5 linked regions of the Oryzias latipes genome follow. The protein of the gene in region 1 binds, or shares a complex with, the protein of each later gene. Links are inferred from orthologs where the notes say so. Each region holds a gene or a part of one and is shown in the gene's direction. Other genes may lie near its edges. The genes, in order: ppp4r3a, ppp4r1, ppp4r4, ppp4c and ppp4r2.

Region 1 (4,487 bases):
ATGTAAATGCATGTTTGAAAAAAAAATACTAGTTGGGGGATGAATGGATGTTTTTAAATGAACAAACCTCATGTGGAAGTAGTATATTTATATTTTTTCCCCGTCACACTTAAAATGGAAATGGGTGAGGCTCTTTTGACAGTCGTTTATGGTCATGTGACCTTTGTGTTTTGTACTGTCAGCTCAGCAGTGTTTATGTATTGCTGTCCCCATGGAGATGGAGAAGTGTTGTGTAAATCCGTTGTGCTGTCCAGGAGGAAAAGTGAAACTCAAACACTTTTGGTACACTGTGCTGTGTGTAATCAACCAGTGCTGTATATTTCTTCCCTTTTTATATTCTAAAAACTCTTTATGCAAATATGATCAGAGTTTTTCATTCAGAGTGTTAGAGATTATTATACAATTTTTTTCTTTTTTATTATTATGAACATGCATATCCTTCATAGATTGAACCTAAAAAGAAATATTTGAATTATGTTATTGTTTTTGGTTAATTATGTTGCATAATTTTATTCTTCTGTTACTGTAAACATGAAATGCAGCACATTAGCATTAGAAAATTCATTTCTGTTGTGCTTCAATTTTCTACTGGTTTACTGGATATTTCATTCTTTATTTGTTTCTTGTTTGGTGTCAGGACGATGAAAAATTCCTGACGGACCTCTTTGCACAGCTAACAGATGAGTCCACAGATGACGACAAAAGACATGAACTGGTATTATTTTACAATATACTGATATCATTTATTTAAAGTGTTAATCTTCTCCACATTAGTTGATATATAATTTTTTTTTTACCTTGTTTCATCGAATTTCTTTGTCTTATCAGGTAAGCTTCCTAAAGGAGTTCTGCGCATTTTCACAAACGTTACAACCTCAAAACAGAGACGCCTTCTTTAAGACATTGTCAAACATGGGCATTTTACCTGCACTGGAGGTCATACTGGTGAGTGATTGGCGTTGGGATTAGGACAAATTATGAGTCAGAGATACAAAGAAATTGGCTCCTTTTGTTGATATTATAGATATTTCTGCTGTGTTGCTTTAGAATTGTAGAACTTGTCGGTCTCCAGCCTGTGGTTTTTGTACAGGATGTTATCATATAGACCATGTTTTATGATCAGATTTTTCCTCATCGATATGTTGGTACATTTTATACCAAAATAAAACTAAGCAAACATTGGTTTTCTCTTTGTAACATAAAACAGAAATTAATAACCAAACTGGTAAACACAATAGAGATTTTTTTTCCTTTCAATGGAGGCTATTTTTATTAACCAGTGTGCAGGACTCCTGATTTCTACATTGTTCCTTCTCTTAAATTTGTCACTTTTACTTTGCTATGAATATGCTTGTTTTGTTTTGGCGTAAAACTTTAAAATTAGATTTTGGCCATATTGTTCCAAATGAGGAGTAAATTATTTCTCATACTAGAATTGGCAGGACTATTTTTCTCATAGAAAATGGATATCTGCTGCAAATTGTAACCTTTATAATAGTTCAAATTTTAGATGAATTTACTTAGGGTTAGGGTTCCTTTACTTTGACTTTCATGAACATAGTTAAGGTTTTCTAATAATTATACAACAAAACAATATTTTATTGACTTTGCCTTATGGTAAATTTATAAAATGTAATTAAATATTGCCCCCCTCCTTAACTGTTACTAAAGTTGGAATGTTTTTTTGTTTTTTTTGGTAGATTAAAAAATAAGTTTTAATGGCTGACATTCTTTTATGCTGAATAGGGAATGGATGATGTTCAAGTGCGCGGGGCAGCCACAGATATCTTCTCGTATCTGGTGGAGTACAACCCCTCCATGGTAAGAGAGTTTGTCATGCAGGAATCTCAGCAGAATGATGATGTGAGTATACAGCAAATGACAGGCTTAAATGAAAGGTGGCCCTAATTGTTTCTTAGGTTGATACAAACACATTTATTTTGTTTTCAGGACATTCTATTAATCAACTTGATCATAGAGCACATGATCTGTGACTCAGACCCAGAACTTGGTGGTGCAGTTCAGCTTATGGGGTTGCTACGGACTCTGCTGGATCCAGAGAACATGCTGGCAACTGCTAACGTGAGTTTGCTCTTGTACTTCTAATCACTTGTGACAGAATTTCCCGATAGCAGTTTGATTTTCCTGCTGATCAAGTTTCTCTGCCTGGGAAGAAACAATATCAGGGCCCCCAGTTTAACAGGTTGGGCCAGAGATCTGTACCTTCCCAAGTAAACTGCTAAGGGTGGGAACATTATGTTCTGTGTATTTTTAGAAGGTGTGCAACTAATTCAAAAAAAATGTTGCTTTCTTTTTCTTTGCAGAAAACAGAAAAGACAGAGTTCTTGAGCTTTTTCTACAAACATTGTATGCATGTCCTCTCCGCTCCACTACTAGCCAACACCACAGAAGAAAAACCCAGCAAAGGTATTAAAGTTCAAGATGTCTTTGGTTATCATACTTTGTTAAACGCTTTATGAAATGTTCTTTTTTTTTCTTCTTCCCTTTGTAGATGATTTTCAAACATCGCAGTTATTGGCATTGATTTTGGAGCTGTTAACATTTTGTGTTGAGCATCACACGTATCACATAAAGAACTACATCATCAACAAAGATATTCTCAGGAGGGTACTAGTGCTCACTGCCTCTCAGCATGCCTTCCTGGCACTTTGTAAGTTTTACGTCTTCAAATTCTACTTTCAAGATGTGTTCATTTTCAAATCACTCCACACTTTCAATTCCTTGTTAATGTTGACATAAAATAGGTTACAAAAGGACCTATTTCTGTATTCACAGGTGCCCTACGCTTCATGCGAAGGATCATTGGTCTGAAGGATGAATTCTACAATCGATACATCATGAGAAACTTTCTCTTTGAGCCTGTCGTCAAAGCTTTCCTCAAAAACGGCTCCCGCTACAATCTGATGAACTCTGCCATCATTGAGATGTTTGAATATGTCCGCGTAGTGAGTGTTCCCCGTTGTTTTCACTTTCTGAAACTCAAATGCTTCAAATACAAATTAAAAAAAAAAGTTACAGAAAAGTTTTTAGTAATTGTAGATGTTATAGACTAGAAAACGATACTAAGATATCTCTCAAAACGGACTCTAAGAAAAACTTCTTCCTTTTGTTATGGTTGGAAAAACAATTTTTTATAGTTTTTCATTTGTTTGTTTCTGCAGAGCACCGATGACTTGATCTGTTAAATGTTTTCTTAAAGTCAAATGTGTAATGCTGAGACATCAGCAACATTTTTGTTTTGTTGTTCCAGGTAAAAGTAACTTTTCCCATTGGTCTCTAAAAAAGCAAAAACAAAGCCTAAACTTTAAAATATTCTTAAACTTTTCGTTACACCCATTTTCTTTTTAGTTTAGTTTGTGTCCCAAACCAATCTTTTTCAATGCTTCTTTCTCATCAAGCTGCACTTGTTCTTTATCTGCTTTTTCCTTCAAGGAGGATGTGAAATCTCTAACAGCTCATATAGTTGAAAACTACTGGAAGGCTTTGGAAGATGTGGACTACGTCCAGACCTTCAAAGGCCTTAAGCTCCGGTATGAGCAGCAGCGAGAGCGGCAAGACAACCCCAAGCTGGACAGGTGAGAGGGCAAAGACCCGGTCCTAATGTTGCATGACATAGCTAAAAGCAAAATGTGTGTTTTAATACATGTATTGTGTTAAAATACAAGGTCAGGTGTGGTAAGACAGAATACATGTGTCTGAACGAGAGGGATCAAAGTAGAAGCGTTAGGTTACAGGGGGCTGAGGTGAAGAAGGTGCAGGAGTTTAAGTACTTGGGATCAACAGTTCAGTGTGATGGGGAGTGTGGAAAAGAGGTGATGAGGCGAGTGCAGGGAGGTTGGAGCGAGTGGAGGAAAGTGTCAGGAGTGTTGTGTGACAGAAGAGTGTCAGCAAGACTCAAAGGAAAGGTGTACAAGACAGTGGTGAGACCAGCTCTGCTCTATGGGTTAGAGACGGTAGCAGTGAGACAGAGACAAGAGGCTGAGATGGAGGTAGCGGAGATGAAGATGTTGAGGTTCTCCTTAGGAGTGACCAGGTTAGACAGGATAAGGAACGAGTACATCAGAGGGACGGCTCATGTTGCCTGTGTTAGCGACAAAGTCAGAGAAGCCAGACTGAGATGGTTTGGACATGTTCAGAGGAGGGATAGTGGATATATTGGTAGAAGGATGTTGGAGATGGAGCTGCCTGGCAGGAGGGCAAGAGGACGGCCAAAGAGGAGATATATGGATGTCTTAACAGAGGACATGAAGTTGGCTAATGTTAGGGTAGAAGATGTTCATGATAGTGAGATGGAAAAGGATGATTCGCTGTGGCGACCCCTGATGGGAAAAGCCGAAAGAGAAGATTGTATTAAAATAATTTAGATTGCTGTGACTTTGAAACTAGCAGAATGTTATTTGTTTGTTTTTCTTGTAAATAACTCCCTTTTAGGAAGATTTGAACTTAAAGGGGCTATATTATGCTAA
Region 2 (3,881 bases), on another chromosome or scaffold:
ACCAGACAGTGAATGTAGAGCCTTTGTTTCTATGCTGTGTAAATCTTAGGTTTTTTTTCCTGTCTTAAAAAGTAACTCATTTATTAAGCTGCTTGTTTTTCTGTTTCTGCTGCTGTCATCTTGTGGTGTTTTCCTTTGTGGTCTTTCTTAGTGGAAAGTGCGACGCACACTGGCTTTCTCTATCCATGAACTGGCGGTTATCCTGGGCGACCAGCTGACAGCCGCTGATCTGGTTCCCATATTCAACGGCTTCCTGAAAGATCTGGATGAAGTTCGCATCGGCGTGCTGAAGCATCTTTATGACTTCTTAAAGGTAAAGTAATTCCCATGCAGACTAAAGCTGCAGGTACAGTCACAGCTGCTTCGTGAAAGATGTTGAAGCTCTTTAAAAATCATTTCTAAACCAAAGGAAGTCGTTGGCATGGGTGTGCTAGATAATGTTGTTTGTCATTCTCTTGTTGCAGCTGCTGCATGCAGACAAAAGGAGAGAGTATCTGTACCAACTGCAGGAGTTCATGGTCACAGACAACAGTCGCAACTGGAGATTCAGATATGAGCTGGCAGAGTACGTTGACTTTTGTTTCCTCACACACAACAGACTTGAACATCATTTTCTATTCAGTTTATTCATAAAGCACTGCTTCATATTTCTGTGTTAAAAAACATGTCTATGAGGACTCTCATTCATCCAGGTTGATTCCATCATAGTAGTAGGTTTAGGGGCTGTCATCTGCAAACCTACTACTATGGTGTTAAGAAACAGTTTCAGTAGGGGGTGAGGGATGCAAACCAATATATTAGATATCATAATATTTTAGCCAGACTAATAACAGTGTTCCCTCGTTTATTGTCAGGGATAATTAAACCGAGATGGGTGAAATCCACAAAGTAAGAGTATAGATGTTTAAGGCTGTAAAAGCCTTTAGGCACACTTTCGATACTTTTTCAGACAGACTTTACATTTTCCCATTTTCTCTCTTGTTTAAACTCTCAAAGCTAAGACCTTCATGGAAAAATGAGCCCAGTATTATAGAATAAATACAAAGATCTGTTCTCGATCAGTGTTTTATGTAAATAGGGGAACGCTGAAAGCATCCTCTACAGGAGATGCAGCACAGAGGAAATTGATTGACGAGGTCAACAGCCAATCAAGATGTAGAACACATTGTGTTGTAAACAAAACATGCAAAATCACGCTAAAAAAAATCTGAAAACAGCGAGACCACCATGGATGAACACTGTATCTATAAAAGGGGTTTAGGATTGTACATTCCCTTTTTTTATGTTTATTTAACACCACATTATCCTGATTGACAGCAGATTCATGTGCTGTCTCTTGCTGGATTAGTAAATAATAATTATTTGTATTTCTAGCTTCTTTTTTTGGGGGGGGAATAAAGCCAAAATCTGTATATTTTAAGAGATAACCATAACATGAAAAAGAAAGTCATTCTACAACATTCTAGCATTTGGTTCTGCTCACACACTTGTGCACTGTTGAGGCAAAAACATGCGTCAATGGAGAAGTGTGAATTATTCATGACACAGTGTCTGGAGAATATTCTCTTTCTTGACCGTGGTCTCTTCAGGGTCCTAGTGCCAGTTGGATCTAGTCCGGGCTTCACATTGCTGGCAGCTTGCCCTTTCTGTTGTGTATTTTTAACGTTTGCTTCAAGCAGTGACAACAGTAACCAACACACTGAACATGTGTGCACATGAACGCAATAAGTAGCTCCTATTGCCACATATCATGGAGCATAAATGCATTTCTGCTTTGATAGGTATGAAGTCATAACACAATCCTGTCTTAAATAAAATCAGGCATAGTTCTTTTAGCCCTAGATCTGTTCAAATTACAGGTATTCTAACTGACTTTATTTTCTATCAGCTTCATAATTGTGTGTTGCTGTTTTTTTTTTTCCTACAGGCAGCTGATCTTGATAATAGAGTTGTACAACCACCGTGACGTGTACGACTACCTCAGACATATAGCGCTCACCCTTTGCTCTGACAAAGTGTCAGAAGTCCGGTGGATTTCTTACAAACTGGTAAGTTTACAAGAAATGGGGTTTGTAGAAAGACATGTCTAAATATTTAAAGAAACATGACAGTAGTATCACAATAGAGAGGAAGTTTAGATGCTACACACATGGAAGAAAAAAACCCATAACCATCATGATTCAGGTTTTAGCATCAAGGCGACATCTGGGGAAAATATTCCAATTTGTCAGCTGCTGATTCATTCATTGAAACTTCTAGAAGTGGTCTGAGTGGGTTGTGTGCTCTTACCTGTCGTCAGGTGGTGGAAATTCTGCAGAAGCTGTATGCCAGCAGGGCTGATGACCTGGGCTTGGAGTTCATCAATGAGCTGACCGTGAGGTTCTGCCACTGTCCCAAGTGGGTGGGGAGGCAGGCGTTTGCCTTCATCTGCCAGGTCTGTGTTTGCTTTTAGAATCCACATTATATTAGGGAAGAGGTATTCTCAATAATTCTTTGAACACGCTTTTGTTTATTTTGGTTTTAATCTTTCAACTGAATGTATAAAAATGCTGATACTGAGCTCCTAAACCAAAAGACAGACTGACCGGTGTGAACTTTATTACTGCTGTGTGATTCTAAGTTACAAGCAAAACTGATGGAAAAATTTTCACTTAATTTTTAATACAGCAAAGAAGACTTTGATTCCTAAATGCAAACATGCATTCAATCATTTTTATTTGAGTAAAACTTGGACAGACTAAAAAGTTCTGTGGTTTTCTCTGTTTCATTTCTGGTGAATCTGTTTGATCTCTAACAGGAACACTTTCCTCTGAATATCAGCTGTTTCTGCTGTTTTCGCATACAAAAGAAAACATTTGTCAGTGTCAATTAAAGACCAGCAAGTAGATGGTGTTCGGCTTGGTCCCGCCTATAAAATCCTCCCACAATTCTCTGGGAACGATCAACTCATTTACTTGCCCATGTCATACTTTACATATGTAGCCATGGTGAAACAACAGAACTTCATTTGTGTTTAAAAGCCCAGATGCACATTAAAGCTTGCAGATAACCTGAACCTCAAAAAGTGAGCAAAGTGCTCTGGGCTCTGAGGGGTTTTTACCCATCAACTTACAAACTGTGACTAGTCAGTGCAGCTTTCCACTTTTTTTTTTTTTTTTCCTGTTTCTGTGTCCATGGCTGTCTCCAAATCAAATGTCCTCAAAGACACAAGAGGGACAATTCAGCTCAGAAAGGGGGGTGTTTGTGTTGCTGGTTTTATCTGCAACTGAAAATAATTACAAAACTTGTTTTTTTGTCTTCAGTGTTGCACAATCAGATAAGGTTGATGCCATAGAATGCTCTTTGTTGATGAACCTGTTTGTTGACTTTCTATGTGATTTCTCTGGACTGAACTCCTTGTTGACGGACTTCCTCCTGCAGCTTTCTGACTGACCGTTCTGTTGAATCTCCTGCAGGCTGTTGTGGAGGAGGACTGCATGCCCATGGAGCAGTTCAGCCAGCATCTCCTGCCCAGTCTGCTCAGCCTCTCCACAGACCCTGTAGCCAATGTCCGCGTTCTGGTGGCCAAGGCTTTACGTCAGAGCGTGATGGAAAAAGGTATAGAGCAGGAACATTTCATGTGTGTAGATTATTTGCAGTTTCCCAACATTGTTTATTTCCTTGTAATTCAAGCCTTGGAGTGTGACCTTCAACAACCACAACAAAAAGATGTGATGATGAGCAAGGTTCAGAAATGCTGGGTTGGATGTTGAATGTCCTGTTTGTGCAAAAATGTCACCTTTTCTCTCCTTTTTTGATTTTTTTTCCCCCAGCTTATTTTAGAGAGCCGGGCTGTGCCTATTCTAACAAGCTGGAGGAGACTGTGATGGCTCTGCAGTCCG
Region 3 (4,487 bases), about 16 Mb from region 1:
TCTGGGGAGCTGCTGCATCAGAGCTTTTCCCACCGCATCTTCAGCCTCCTCATCACCAACGTTAGCAGCCCCGTAATCCATGCTCTACAGTAGCTACAGCTGAAGGGGGTAACTAACTCTGCTCTGCTTTCCATGGCTGCAGAAAGTCCTTCCAGTGCAGAAGGAGGCTGCACGAACTCTTTGCACAATCATGCGTTACAACCGCAAGCAGGAACAACGTCAGGAGATGATGGAACGTTTGATCCAAGGTCAGAGTATCTTCTGCTTTTTCCAGCTTTAGTGAAGATGAAAACAAATGTGTCAGGACAAGACAAAGAGGACTTTCTCTGATTGTAGATTTGGCTTTGGGTCGAAGCTATTGGAACCGTCTTAGGTTCCTTGACGTCTGTGAAATTGCCACAGAGATTTTCTCAAAAAAATACTTCAGTAAATATTTCCTGATTCCAGCGCTGGAGCTTGCCCATGACCCCATTGCCAATGTGAGGTACTTCAATGCATTTCTACTAAGCCACAAGCTGAAATTTGACAAATATTAAGGTCACCACATCCCACTCAATAGCTTGTCCTGCTCACCTGTTTCTTAGATACAAGCTCTGCCAGCTGCTGCCCAGGTTGCGCTTATGTCTCTGCCTGCCAGCAGACAAACTTCTGCTGCAGAAATTGGACTTTTGTGTTCAGAAACTTTTATGCAGGGAAAAAGACAAAGATGTGGTGGCCACAATCCCGAAGGTAAACCTCACCAAAGAACTGTCCGGATTGAGGATGGGCTGTGATGGTGTTCAAGATTCTGTGTGTAACTATATCTAATATCATTTTCAGACTGTGCTGGAACTGAACAAACTGGACCTGTCAGAACCTGTAAGCTGCAAAGCATGTGTTCTGCAAATGCATTAGGCAAACATTTGTTCCAAACTCCATCTTCTGGGTATGTGCAGTTTCACAAGAGGCAGGAGAGGGACCTGCTGGACCTGAAGAAAAAGAAAGAAGAGACTGTCCAGCTGGAAATGGTGAGTCAAAAGCCAGAACGTGACTCCAGCTTGGAACTGGCCAACTTGGTCCAACTGGTTTTAATGTCATACTGCTGTTTGTTGTGTTATGTGTTGTCAGGAACAGTTGGAACAGGACAGCGATGGTAAAGTGACCTCTGACAGGCACACAGAGAGAAAGCGTGAGCTGAACCTTCATCCTCTCAAAAGATTTTTGGACCAAAGCTTTGGTTAACCTTTTCCTCCAACAGGAAGAGACAGCAAGACCAGCCTGACTTTCACTAAGTCTGTGTCCATCTCCTCCCCAGTAGCAGCACCACCCTCTGGTAAGTTGATGATAAAGATGATAGCAATAACCATTATTTCTTAAATACACCTTTGTCCTCTTGAGCCCTCTACACTAGCACAAGTAACATACAGCTGCAAATCTTCCTTTCCTTTCTTGGATCTGATTTCCTCTTATTGTCAACTGAGAATTTTCCTGTAATCCATGTTTCTAGAAAATTGATCTGAATAATGTGTCTTAAAAATAGAGTATGTTCCTGTGGATATAAAGGTTACAGTAATTACAGCGTTAGCTAAAAATCAGAAAATATCTCATTATTTGAAAAATCATCTAAGGTGCTTGAAAAAAAACTGTTGCAGATCAACTCCTTAAGCACCTGATCAAAATTATTTTTTAGGATTAAGGAGGATTTTTGAGTGAGGATTTGGAGCTCATCACAGCATAGAAATGGTTCTGCTAGAGGGAACAATGATCTCCTCATGGTGTAGACACTGGACCTGTTCTTGTTCTTTTAGACCTCAGTGCTGCATTTGACATCATTAATCAGAACATTTTTTTGCAGAGACTGGAATATATCATTGGTATCACAGGAACAGCTTTAAGCTGTTCTATTATGTCCTTTTTTATGTCAAACCTTTTATCTGATAGATTGCAGGGTAATTGTGTAACCGATGAGTCTTTCTCACCCAGCAATCAGTCATGGTGCACCACAAGGCTCTGTGCTTGGTTCACTCCTAATTAGTTCAACATGCTCCCTTGGGTAACATTATTCAGTAGCACAGCATACATTTTCTTTGCTGCTGATACTCAGATATATTTACCTATTAAACCAGGAAAGGTTGGTTCTCCCAGCAGATGAAGATCTGTCAAGAATGTCTTGAAGATAGATCCAGGAGTTTTGTGTTAGTCACTTTCCTTGTCTCTCATTGTTAAAGTTACTAATACAGTGATCCCTTGCTATATCACGGTTTACTTTTCACGGTTTTGCTACTTCACGGATTTGGATTGTGCATTGTGTTCTGCATTCTGATTGGCTAAAAAGTCACTCAGCGAGTAGCTCAAGAATGGGACCCTTTGATGAGCCGTTCATTACAGTTCTCCAACATAATCGATGGGGGCATGTCGGTGTAAGAGGGTCTTTAGCAAAGAAGAAAAAAGAGCGACAACAACTGCCTATCACTATGTTCCTCTCCCGAACAAACACACCTGCAGCTGCACCGCGGGCTTCAGAAGGAAAAAACGCTGCAGAGGATGCAGCGGCTCAGTATGAAGAGCAGTGAAAAAGTAGACCGGAGTCACTATCTGTCCCACTGTACTTTTTTATTTTTTTCATAATCATTTTAAATTTTCTCCCGTTTAATCCAATTACTCTCGGGTCGCGGTGGGCGGGGCTAATCTCTGCAATTTAAAGCCTTCTGTTCTTATCGATGATTGAAATTATTATTTGACAGCACACTACAGAAGTTATTTGTTGAAAAACGTTTCTAAAGTTAAATTGTTAAAAAAACAATTGATTTAGCCTGTTAAATGGTTTGTTCTTTCTTTTCAATGTATAATAGTGAATTTCATTGTATAATAATTGTAAAAAAATAAAGGTTTCTACTTCACGGGTTTTGCTTATCACGGGTTCTATTTGGAACGTAACCCCCGCGATAATCAAGGGATCACTGTACTTTTGTTTCATCCTAACAGGTAAACTGGTTGATTTTATTGCTTGTTGACTTTCTTTTGTCTCACTGCTGAACTAACTAACTTTGTCTCACTGGACTATGGATGGTAATAATGGTGGTGCTGAAAATCTAAATAAAGATGATTGATGATTTGGATGATGAGGCCTTCCGTCTTCCAGGTAAAGAGAGGAGGAAGCCAAAATTGTCTCGCAGTCGTTCCCTCAGCAGTCAGCCGTCATCAAGCAAACCTGTGAATTCTGACAGACCACTGTAAGATGCACTCACGTAGAGACACGCCACAGATTGGTTTTGTTTCTGCCTTTAAATCTTTGACAAATATTCTTATAATGTAACCTTTTTTTCAGGAAGGTCAAAGACCTAAGTGGTTCGTTTCGACTTGGGAAGTCCTCTGTGTTGGTTAGCAAAGGTAACAGTGTGCACTCAGGACCTTGCATGTTTTTCTGACATATACAGTACATCACTTCATGTGTTTTGCAGATGCCTCCCTGAGAACAAGTCACTTCACCATGACAACCCAGACCACCTCCTTTATGCCGATTCTGGTACGAAATGACACAAGCCTATCAAGTGTACTGGACAGACCCAGTATCTTGGACAGAACTACCAGCGTGGACTCCATGAAAAGTGTGATGGAGCACAGCAATAGTGGTTTTTATTCCAAAGACCACAGAACCAGTACTTTGGACCACAGAGGGCACAGAAGTAGCACTTTGGAGCAGAGCAGTAAAACAATGGAGCGTAGCAGCGGGGTGAAGGACAGTCGGTCTAGAAAACTGTAAGTCCAGACCAATTCTGAAACTGCTTTGTTTATCCTGTATCTTTCACAAATCCAAAGAAGAGTTTTATTTCCTGTTGAACGAGCATCCTTGTGATGGTTAGACCTTGATGTTCTGATGTTTCTTTTACACAAACCTTGTCTGTCGTGGTTGGACATCAACTTAATTTGGGACAGTGCATACCCTATTTTAATCCAGAATGTTCTGCTTTAGTCCTTAGCTCAATCCACTCAACAGTGTTCTTCCACCAGCTAGAAGCAGAGATGGCGTTATGTCGTTATGCAGATGAACATGTCAGTCTAAAGAGGAAGAAAGACACTCAGGCAGAGACTGAACTTGGAGGAGTTCCCTGTGTCTAAACAGGCTCTGTTGTGGGTCTTCTTTGATAGAACTAACATTCAGGCCCTAGGTGTTCTTCAGACAAGACAAAGCAGAAGTGCATTGAATGTTTATCATAGAAAAAAGGTTAATGTATCTGTAGTTGGACTGTTGAGTTGTACGGTCTAACAGCGGTTGGAATGCAGGACCTGTGGTACCGCTACTTCTAATGCTGCATTCACACCGGGTCAAATCCACGTCTGCTGCCTCTCTTTTGATCAAATTTACTGTCTGACACCTTGACGCCCCGGTCACAGAGCAACCAACGTTTTTATGGACTTTATTCATCTCCACATCTTGGAAACATGGATGACGTTAAGCGAGTAGCTTGGGTTTATATGTTATGGAGAGCTTGTCGCCGTGTCTGGGT
Region 4 (3,260 bases), on another chromosome or scaffold:
CTGTAGAAGGTGAAGAGTTACTGGAAACTAGAGAATGAAGGATTGTTCAATACTGTATTTTTCAATATTCCCAGAGTTATTTCTTGAAATGATGAAAAAAACTTCTTTTGTAATTGACAGATTTCAGAACACTGTCACTTTTTTTAAACAGAACATGTTTAGAACCTCATTGTCATACGTGTTCATGACTTTCTTTCAGAGAAATCCTGGTTGAAGAGAGTAACGTTCAGAGAGTAGACTCTCCAGTCACTGTAAGTTCCATTTGCTGCTTTTAAATCCAAAGTCGTTGATTGTTCGTTTGACCTTCTGTTCTCTTATTTTTTGTAGGTTTGTGGTGATATACACGGTCAGTTCTATGACCTGAAAGAACTCTTCAGAGTAAGCTTTTATGTTTGTTTTAATCCAAGCTCCAGACAAAATCGTGGTTTATTTTCCTGCACTGCTGTTTGGTTTTGATGGTTGGACACTTCTTCTTTATGGGCTGTGACGTAGGGCTGGACCATTAATCAGTTATGTCCAATTTGATGTTTTAGACTGTTTATTTTTGAGAAAATGGAGACGTTTCCCCCCAGCTCTCTGCTCTCTTCCGTGTTGGGAGTAAAAGCCGCCCGCCGGTCCGTCCAAAGCACGGATGTGAGAACAGCAGCGAGCAAAGAGGAGCTACTTCAGCGAGGCGGAGCAATGAAAACACGAGCGCCACGAGAAGTGCCCCGTAACTTCTGCTAGTGACCTCTGTGTAGAAATAGCAGTACTCTGTACTCAGTAGTTTTAACAGAATGTCTGTACAGAGGCCTTGAAATGTGTTTGCTGATGCCAGATCCAGGTCAACTTTAAAGCAAACGGTGTTATTAAAACAAAAGTTGGGCTGTTTGCTTTAAACTGCCCTTCATTCTGTCTGTACACGTGTGGGTTTACAGCACAGCCGCGCTCCTCTGGTGTCCGATGGTCCGACCGGTTCTCCTCAGGCTGTACTGTGTGTTTTAGCCTGAGGCCTTCTGCTGGCCTCTTTGTGTTTTCTGCCAAAGGGATGAAGAAACGGTAGCGGGTCATTTATAGAAAGGGACGGCTGGCTGGTGTGTGGAGGGGAGGCCATTAAAGAGCAGAGCCTCACTCCTATTGGAGTTGAATCATGAGAACCGCAGAAGTTCAGGGTTTATTATGGAAACCCAAAAACCGTCAAGTTTTGAAACGTTAAGGCATTGTGTGTTGATTCCACTGATTTTAAACCTGCCATTTACCAGGTGGGGGGAGATGTCCCAGAGACCAATTATCTCTTCATGGGGGACTTTGTGGACAGAGGCTTCTACAGCGTGGAGACTTTCCTTCTGCTGCTGGCCCTCAAGGTGAACGATTTGAAGTCAATCAAGCCCTTCCGTGCTGCACTTGTGCAGGTCTCTGACATAAATCCTCCTGTTTTTGGTTCCTCAGGTGCGTTATCCAGACAGGATCACTTTGATCCGGGGAAACCACGAGTCCAGGCAGATCACACAGGTCTATGGCTTCTACGATGAGTGCCTCCGCAAGTACGGCTCTGTGACGGTGTGGAGATACTGCACCGAGATATTCGACTACCTGTCGCTCTCTGCCATCATCGATGGAAAGGTCGGACGGGTTTTCTTCACGCCGTTTCCTCCAAAATGTTGGACGTGAAAAGGTTTTCCTTTGGCTTTTGTTTTGATGGCTTTCATTCTGTCCTCCAGATCTTCTGTGTGCACGGAGGGCTGTCCCCCTCCATCCAAACACTGGACCAGATCCGGACCATTGACAGGAAACAGGAAGTGCCTCACGATGGGCCCATGTGTGACCTTCTGTGGTCAGACCCTGAAGGTAACGGCTTCAGCCAGAGCCGGACTCCGTTTGAGAAGCTGCACGTTTGCCTGATCTCTTCGGTCTGCTCTCAGACACCACCGGGTGGGGGGTCAGTCCCAGAGGGGCTGGATATCTGTTCGGGAGCGACGTGGTGGCTCAGTTCAACGCCGCCAACGACATCCACATGATTTGTCGAGCGCACCAGCTGGTCATGGAGGGCTACAAGTGGCACTTCAACGAGACTGTGCTCACCGTGTGGTCCGCACCCAACTACTGCTACAGGTGACGGACACCTGTCCGGTTCCACTGATTTGTCTCTGTGTAAAAGCCTCCCTTTGGGACACGCCCACTTAAGGAGTTGAATGCTAGTTAGGTTTAGGTTAGCGGTTAGCTGTAGGAACAGCGTCTCTAATTCAGACTGCTGCTGTGAGGAGATTTACTGGCTGTGCTTCAGCACGACTAGAATGCAGATGCAGAGAAAATGGACCTTTGGGAACCGGCCAGTCCTGCTAAGACTGAAAAGTACAACTGTTTACTTTAGGCTTTGCATTCAACCAAAGCTGTTAAATGTTTGTTTGTCTCAATATTCAAAGCAAAAAAAATTTATTTTATTTTCTGTAGTTAATTTATGTTTTCAAGCAGCAAAACTCCAAATATTTGTTCTGCATTTAGAAATTCGTAGCATATTTTTGGCACTATGAGGAGCACAGAATAAACCTTCATTTTGGTCAAAATGACTTGTGATGTGGAGCGACTTAAGTAATTAACGTGTAGAGCGTCGCAAACAGGAATTAGAAATATTGTTTATAAAGTCTGGACTTTCCTCTGCCTTTTTATTCTCTCTTCATGGACCCTATAGTGCAGTGCGCCTTATATATGACGTAATGTAGAAAATAGGTTATTTATTGGTGGTGCACCCTATAAAACAGAAAATATGGAATGTTTTCTGGACATTTAGGTGTGCAACGGATGATTTGTATGGACCACACGCCACGGCTAAGGTTTAACATGCGTCAAAGGTCCTAGTTAATGTTTGTCCTAAGGTGTGTGAGCCTAAAGCTCCCGCCAAAAGCGTGTCGACCTCCGCATGGAGGACGCAGATGATGACAGATGGCGTTTCTTCATTTTGAAGAGCTCTACAACAGCATCAATGAGCAGCACACGCCTCCATGTGTGCCTCATGAAACCATTCACTCTCCCAGTGAGGAGCAGCAGCTGCCCCCAACTGTGGCAGGAGAAGCCGCCGCCCCTCTGGAACCAGTGGGAGGGGCTTGTAGCAGGGGATGGTGGAAGAATGGATAATAGTCAATTCCTCCTACATTCCCTGCTTTTCTTACTTTTAAAAAAAACTGTATATACATTTTTTTGCACGGTGATTTTGATCAAATCGATTAATTGATCTGAATTGATCCAATCTTAGTAGATCAATAATAGATCCATTAAAGTAGAAA
Region 5 (5,153 bases), on another chromosome or scaffold:
TTTTTCCCGAAAAAAATTGTTTAACCGCAATGCATTGTGGTCTATATTTCCTGATCTACTGTGCATCGATGCTCATTAGTTTTAAGCAGAGACCTCAGGGACTTGTCCAGGGCACTGGATTTTGGAATTGTAGATTTGAACCCCCCGGAAAAAAAAATGGCGAACGCCACAGAAAGTGCATAAAGTAGTGAGGGAATTCGGACACAACCTACAAAATTGTCTTCCTGCAGCAGCTGGCTGGGGATCTGACGTTACGCCTTTGTCTCCGCAGTTCCCTTTCGAGGACAACATGTTCCAATCGCTGTTCTACCCGGTCCAGAGCAGGTTCCTGGACACGGTCAACACTCTGTGCGGTCGCATTCCCCAGGTCTTCCTCAAGCAGATAGAGAAGACCATGAGGAGTGCTTTTGAGAGGAAGGTGGTGCGCCATGCCAGACCTCGAAATTAACAGCCGAAGACCATGTTGCCCCACCCACACCCCCATGCTGTGCATTTAAAGCAGACGCAACCTGTGAAGGATCATGAACTCTACAGAAATAAAAAAGTAAATAAAAAGAAACCAAACAAAGAAGTCACTTTTTTATTTATGTTGAGAAAAATGCTCATCTCAAGCATTTCTAAGCGACTAAAATGAACATTTTAAAGGTTCAATTGTATGAGAGCAACTCTTGGACAGTTTAAAGAATGGTGAATATTTTAGCGTCACCATGAAATGTGAACGAACCACCACTGTCTGTATTAAATGTTTGTATGTTAAATGTTTGAAAAGCACTTTTTAAAAAAGATTTTTTTCTTTTAGACCGTGAGACTTTGCCTGACCGAGTTGGACAGATTGTGCAAGAATGTTTTATTGGAGTGAAGTTTAAACGCCATATTAATGTTCATGTGTGCCATGTTTACCATACAAAATAAATGGATTTGTGTAGGTGTGTGTGAGCCTGTAATATGAATCTGTGCTGTTGTGACCCACGTGTTACATGGAAAAGTTTGTGGAGTCTACATATGTTTTCAGAATTAAAATTTTTGCAAAAAACTAACCCATTGTGAGTCTTTTTCCCCCTGCTATTACCTTGTTTGCTTTTGTCCTGGTAAGTGGGCGGAGTCTTAAAGACACCACATTCTTTTATATGAAAGACCCACTCTGATAAAATTGTGTTTCTGTTGTTTTTAACATGTTCTCGTGGCATTTTTTCTGACGATGGAAGAAAAATATCAAGAAAGTTAAGCTTGAGATTGCATTTCTGAGTATTACTTCGTTCAAATTGTGAATTAGGAGCAGACAAAAAATGCAGTTTAAAAAAAAAATTGTGCTCCGCGTCATTCTGATTCATCTATCTAAATGTTCGTTTTCCTCGTCCGAGCTAGCATCTGGCTCAATTAGCTCCAACATTGGTCGCCATTTTTTGCTGCAACGCCACTAGGGATGTGAGGGACTGTAAGCTAGCAGGAGAGAGTGTAAATAGAGAGCTCTCAGCAAAGGGGAAGGGTCAGGGGGGTGGGGTTGCTCCGGGCCAATGGTCCCACCCACAACTCAGACATATTTTTTAATAATAATGACCAACTCTTATTTTCTTTTAGTTGCTATATTGTAATGAAATACATCAATTACAATATACGCAGCACACAGATTGGGTGACAGCTCATGGCTGCTGATTGGTTGATTTAGTGAGAAGCAAAACATACTGTATTTGTAACTTTGTCATTGTAGATAAATACATGTTTATTTGTGCGTGTGACATTTCACACACGGACAAAGCAACTTTATAGACAGACATGTTTGTTTTCCCGTTATAAAACAGTTTTACAGACGCACACATTTCTAATGACGGGTACAAACATTTTTAAAACAGACAGACAATCTGTTTTCTACAGATACTAAATCTTTCAACACACACAAATGTCTCATTACAGGTGCAAACCGTTTTGTGCAACAAATCTAACTTCATATATGCTGCTCTGCAAAAAAAAAAGTCTACTGGGAATGCTCTTTTTTTAGTTGTGTTGTATCAGTTCTCTTCTGTTTGTTGAGTTAGACTCGGGCTGTGACTTAACGACGCCATCTTTAATTACCCCCCCCCCCCCCGCCGCCTCCTAGCCTAGCTTAGCATCGGCTAGCCGCCATCCTGCCGTTGACACCCTCAGCACTAACAGAGGCGACGACGTGATGGAAATTGACTCGATTCAAGAGGCGCTCATAGGTCACTTTCTTCTCCTCATTTAACACCAAGCTGACGAAAAATATCTGATAAATGTCTGCTCTAGGTTACACTAAAAAAAGCGATAATGAAGTGGGTTTTAGTTTACGAGAGCTAGTGTCAACCGATGCTAACTTATTAGCTAGTGCTGTCTTCGAAACGCTTAGCTTTCTTTTTAATGTATTCCTTTCTTTTTTTTTTGAAATAACTAGTTAGTTCTTATAGTTAGCTTTCTTCTTTTTGTTTTCCACGCACCATGATTTCAGATGAATTAGCCGGCTAACGCTTTGGGGAAAACTACCGGCTTCCCCGTTAGGCTAAAGTTAGCATCGCAGGGCTACGATAAGCTAATAGGAACTGCTGATCAACACTTAACGAAAGGAAGGGTTCAGCGATATATATTAATTCCTCGGGTTGAGTTAAAGTGGGCATTGAGCGTTAACCAGGTTAAACTGGACGACCACAAATTAATCCGACATTCTCAGCTGCTCAGTTTGGCTAAACTGTTCGTTTTTTAAGCTAGGCTAAATCGAGACCTGTTCGTGTTCAGCCAATTTGTTAAAATGTTTCTACAGATTTTGACAAGAAATCTAAAAAGGAACCATCCCCTGTTCTGGAGGAGTTCCTGTGCCATGTTGCCAAAACTGGACAGACCATGTAAGTGTCCTTTTTCTCTCGGTTTTTCTGCTCCAGTATTTGAAACTCTTCGGTTTACTTTGAGCCTTTCACTTTCCATTGATGCTCTATTGTTCACTTTCACAGGAAATTCTTACTATGACAGTTACCTATATGCTTTTCCTAATGCAAGTTCTGCACGAAATAGGGTCAAATAGAACGGGGGAAAAGGGTCAGTCAGGATGAAGGGATCAAACTTATCTCGGATAATTCCTTGATTTTTGAGTCATTTTTGTTTGCAACCTGGTTTTCAGATTCGTGACAGCTTCTATACTATAGAGGTGAACTCTGGTTTACTTCTCAGTCTGAAGTCCATGCAGATAGCAGTTTATGGTTCGGTGTCTGCAGTTACATCCCACAGAAAACACTGCTGATATTGTATTTGGACCCATCAGAGAGTTTTTGGAGATGTTTGCGGGGGGGGTTTCCGGTCATAAGAAGAATACATCTTTGAAACTTTCCACTTTCTCCAGTTTTACCCGTGTCTATTATTGTCAGTGTTGTCGGAAACGTTCATCTGCCCCGATACCATTTCCTGCTTTTATGGAACTCAACAAATGTTGAATGTGTTGCCCTCTGCAGACATCGAATGTGTGCCGTGTTATTTTAAACGTGACGTTAAAAACCTGTTACACAGAGAATGGTGCAGCTTTACCTTGAAACTTGTGAATCCACGACCACAAAATTTTATTAAAGTTTGGTTAAAGTGAGCTTTCTTTATGAGAATTATTATGGAATAATGAGTGAAATAAATAAATGTATTACAGATGTTGGCAAAAATGAATACTTATGCTTATTACAGCTGTGTGTGTGAGGGGCTAAGTAATCAACTGTAGCATCACCAGTCGTCTAGCGATAACTTGTCTCTTCGAGAAAAGAGGTTAAAAAATAAAGGTTTTTTTTGAGGTGATGGAAAACGTTTTAAACAAATAAGAAACATACAAACTGGGTTGATTTACGTTTCCCAGCTAGTATGAGTGTAAGGTTCTTTATTTTTTCTTTCTATCGTCTAACAAAAGCCCATCCAAGAAGCTTCATCACTTCTAGTGGAAGAGGAAGACCACAAAATCAGCTTATTTATAGGTCTTTGTTTTATTCAGAATATCCCTTCATTCGGGCTTAGATTTCAGTTTCGGTGTATTTACAATAATAGGTGAAGAAATGTCGTAGATGCTGTGGAGCTACAGAATGGTAAACATACTGAGGCCATTCTAGTTCAAATATATGTTAGCTTGATGCTATATTTAGGGATACAGGAGGTTGTTGGTGTTGGTAAAAATGACCACTTCTGCTGATATTTCTGTTAGTAAAGCCTTAGTCACATGCTGCCGTACTGGGTTTGGTTTTTCCAGGGTTGTCGACCTTGAGGGACATCGTGAAAATAAAACATATGATTGTCTTGCGTGTGTTAAGCGTATTGTAAAGTATTTGTAAGGATGTAGGTTTGATGTACAGGTGCTGGTGTCGTACGGGGGCCTTACGCTACACTATTTGTTTAGTAAGGTGCGCATACTGACTCATTGTTGACGGCGTGCAATTGCTGCACACGTGGGAGTGCAGGTCATATGCAAGTGCCTGTAGGACGTCCACGGGAATTAAACTCGTTTGTTCCCCTTTCGGCATATCGTTTCAGGGGTGGCCACAGCCAATCAGCTTTCACTGATTCATACAGGTGGCAGAGATTGTTATTTCTTCTGCCACAACTCTATTTATTTCCGGGCTGGGGACCGGCACAGTGTGTGAAGGGTCTTGCCCAAGGACCCACACTGGATGAAGATCATCCAGAAAACATTATTTGCTCTTCGAGCGTTCTACGAATTTGATATTGTTTGTGGAGCGCCTGTTTGGCCCGCACAGGTTGGTCAATTCTTAACCTGCAGACAGCCTGGATCCACCCATAAGGGAAGTTATGACTAAGGCGTAAAGTGTGGCTTCTCCTATATGATTGAATGAAATGAAAGTGTATTAGAGATAAATCTGTATAATAGAAGGGTTTTCATTTGCAAAAGGTCAATATTTGGTTTATTTGAATATTTTAGAAGTTTCTATTGGATCAAACATTTTTATAGGTTGATCATATCAATGTGTTTTCAGTCATTTATACCCAAAAAACAAGTTCAGAGCTGAGAGTAGGAAAGAGCGATTAAGACTCAGAACCGAGCAGCTGGTTGTTTTTACCAAAGAAAGAGGAACATGGATTAATACTACGACAAAGGAGTACTTTACCGGTTTCCTGTTCATCCTCATCTCCTGTGTCCAACTCTCCAGGGTCCAGTGGTCTCA

The links.
Region 2: ppp4r3a (region 1) and ppp4r1 share a complex: the UniProt entries of both Homo sapiens proteins name them as parts of the PP4 complex. The link is inferred for Oryzias latipes from reciprocal best matches to the Homo sapiens genes PPP4R3A and PPP4R1.
Region 3: ppp4r3a (region 1) and ppp4r4 share a complex: the UniProt entries of both Homo sapiens proteins name them as parts of the PP4 complex. The link is inferred for Oryzias latipes from reciprocal best matches to the Homo sapiens genes PPP4R3A and PPP4R4.
Region 4: ppp4r3a (region 1) and ppp4c share a complex: the UniProt entries of both Homo sapiens proteins name them as parts of the PP4 complex. The link is inferred for Oryzias latipes from reciprocal best matches to the Homo sapiens genes PPP4R3A and PPP4C.
Region 5: ppp4r3a (region 1) and ppp4r2 share a complex: the UniProt entries of both Homo sapiens proteins name them as parts of the PP4 complex. The link is inferred for Oryzias latipes from reciprocal best matches to the Homo sapiens genes PPP4R3A and PPP4R2.

Annotation. Positions count from the first base shown.
Region 1 is NC_019882.2:7,227,532-7,232,018, reverse strand, and holds part of ppp4r3a (serine/threonine-protein phosphatase 4 regulatory subunit 3A), read left to right. Parts: intron 1-637; coding exon 638-715; intron 716-828; coding exon 829-945; intron 946-1,746; coding exon 1,747-1,863; intron 1,864-1,950; coding exon 1,951-2,082; intron 2,083-2,324; coding exon 2,325-2,427; intron 2,428-2,512; coding exon 2,513-2,671; intron 2,672-2,796; coding exon 2,797-2,966; intron 2,967-3,453; coding exon 3,454-3,596; intron 3,597-4,487. UniProt on the Homo sapiens protein: Regulatory subunit of serine/threonine-protein phosphatase 4. May regulate the activity of PPP4C at centrosomal microtubule organizing centers.
Region 2 is NC_019863.2:13,852,446-13,856,326, forward strand, and holds part of ppp4r1 (serine/threonine-protein phosphatase 4 regulatory subunit 1), read left to right. Parts: intron 1-151; coding exon 152-313; intron 314-464; coding exon 465-565; intron 566-1,927; coding exon 1,928-2,048; intron 2,049-2,299; coding exon 2,300-2,434; intron 2,435-3,455; coding exon 3,456-3,597; intron 3,598-3,812; coding exon 3,813-3,881. UniProt on the Homo sapiens protein: Regulatory subunit of serine/threonine-protein phosphatase 4. May play a role in regulation of cell division in renal glomeruli. The PPP4C-PPP4R1 PP4 complex may play a role in dephosphorylation and regulation of HDAC3.
Region 3 is NC_019882.2:23,161,183-23,165,669, reverse strand, and holds part of ppp4r4 (serine/threonine-protein phosphatase 4 regulatory subunit 4), read left to right. Parts: coding exon 1-60; intron 61-142; coding exon 143-248; intron 249-336; coding exon 337-484; intron 485-584; coding exon 585-729; intron 730-819; coding exon 820-858; intron 859-935; coding exon 936-1,007; intron 1,008-1,107; coding exon 1,108-1,168; intron 1,169-1,237; coding exon 1,238-1,312; intron 1,313-3,121; coding exon 3,122-3,212; intron 3,213-3,307; coding exon 3,308-3,369; intron 3,370-3,440; coding exon 3,441-3,738; intron 3,739-4,487. UniProt on the Homo sapiens protein: Putative regulatory subunit of serine/threonine-protein phosphatase 4.
Region 4 is NC_019866.2:25,210,620-25,213,879, reverse strand, and holds part of ppp4c (serine/threonine-protein phosphatase 4 catalytic subunit), read left to right. Parts: intron 1-199; coding exon 200-251; intron 252-327; coding exon 328-378; intron 379-1,241; coding exon 1,242-1,343; intron 1,344-1,428; coding exon 1,429-1,602; intron 1,603-1,700; coding exon 1,701-1,827; intron 1,828-1,901; coding exon 1,902-2,091; intron 2,092-3,260. UniProt on the Homo sapiens protein: Protein phosphatase that is involved in many processes such as microtubule organization at centrosomes, maturation of spliceosomal snRNPs, apoptosis, DNA repair, tumor necrosis factor (TNF)-alpha signaling, activation of c-Jun N-terminal kinase MAPK8, regulation of histone acetylation, DNA damage checkpoint signaling, NF-kappa-B activation and cell migration.
Region 5 is NC_019863.2:21,903,212-21,908,364, reverse strand, and holds the start of ppp4r2 (serine/threonine-protein phosphatase 4 regulatory subunit 2), read left to right. Parts: upstream 1-2,067; 5' UTR 2,068-2,164; coding exon 2,165-2,198; intron 2,199-2,770; coding exon 2,771-2,852; intron 2,853-5,138; coding exon 5,139-5,153. Other genes in the region: gxylt2 (glucoside xylosyltransferase 2), read left to right, coding at 272-448. UniProt on the Homo sapiens protein: Regulatory subunit of serine/threonine-protein phosphatase 4 (PP4). May regulate the activity of PPP4C at centrosomal microtubule organizing centers.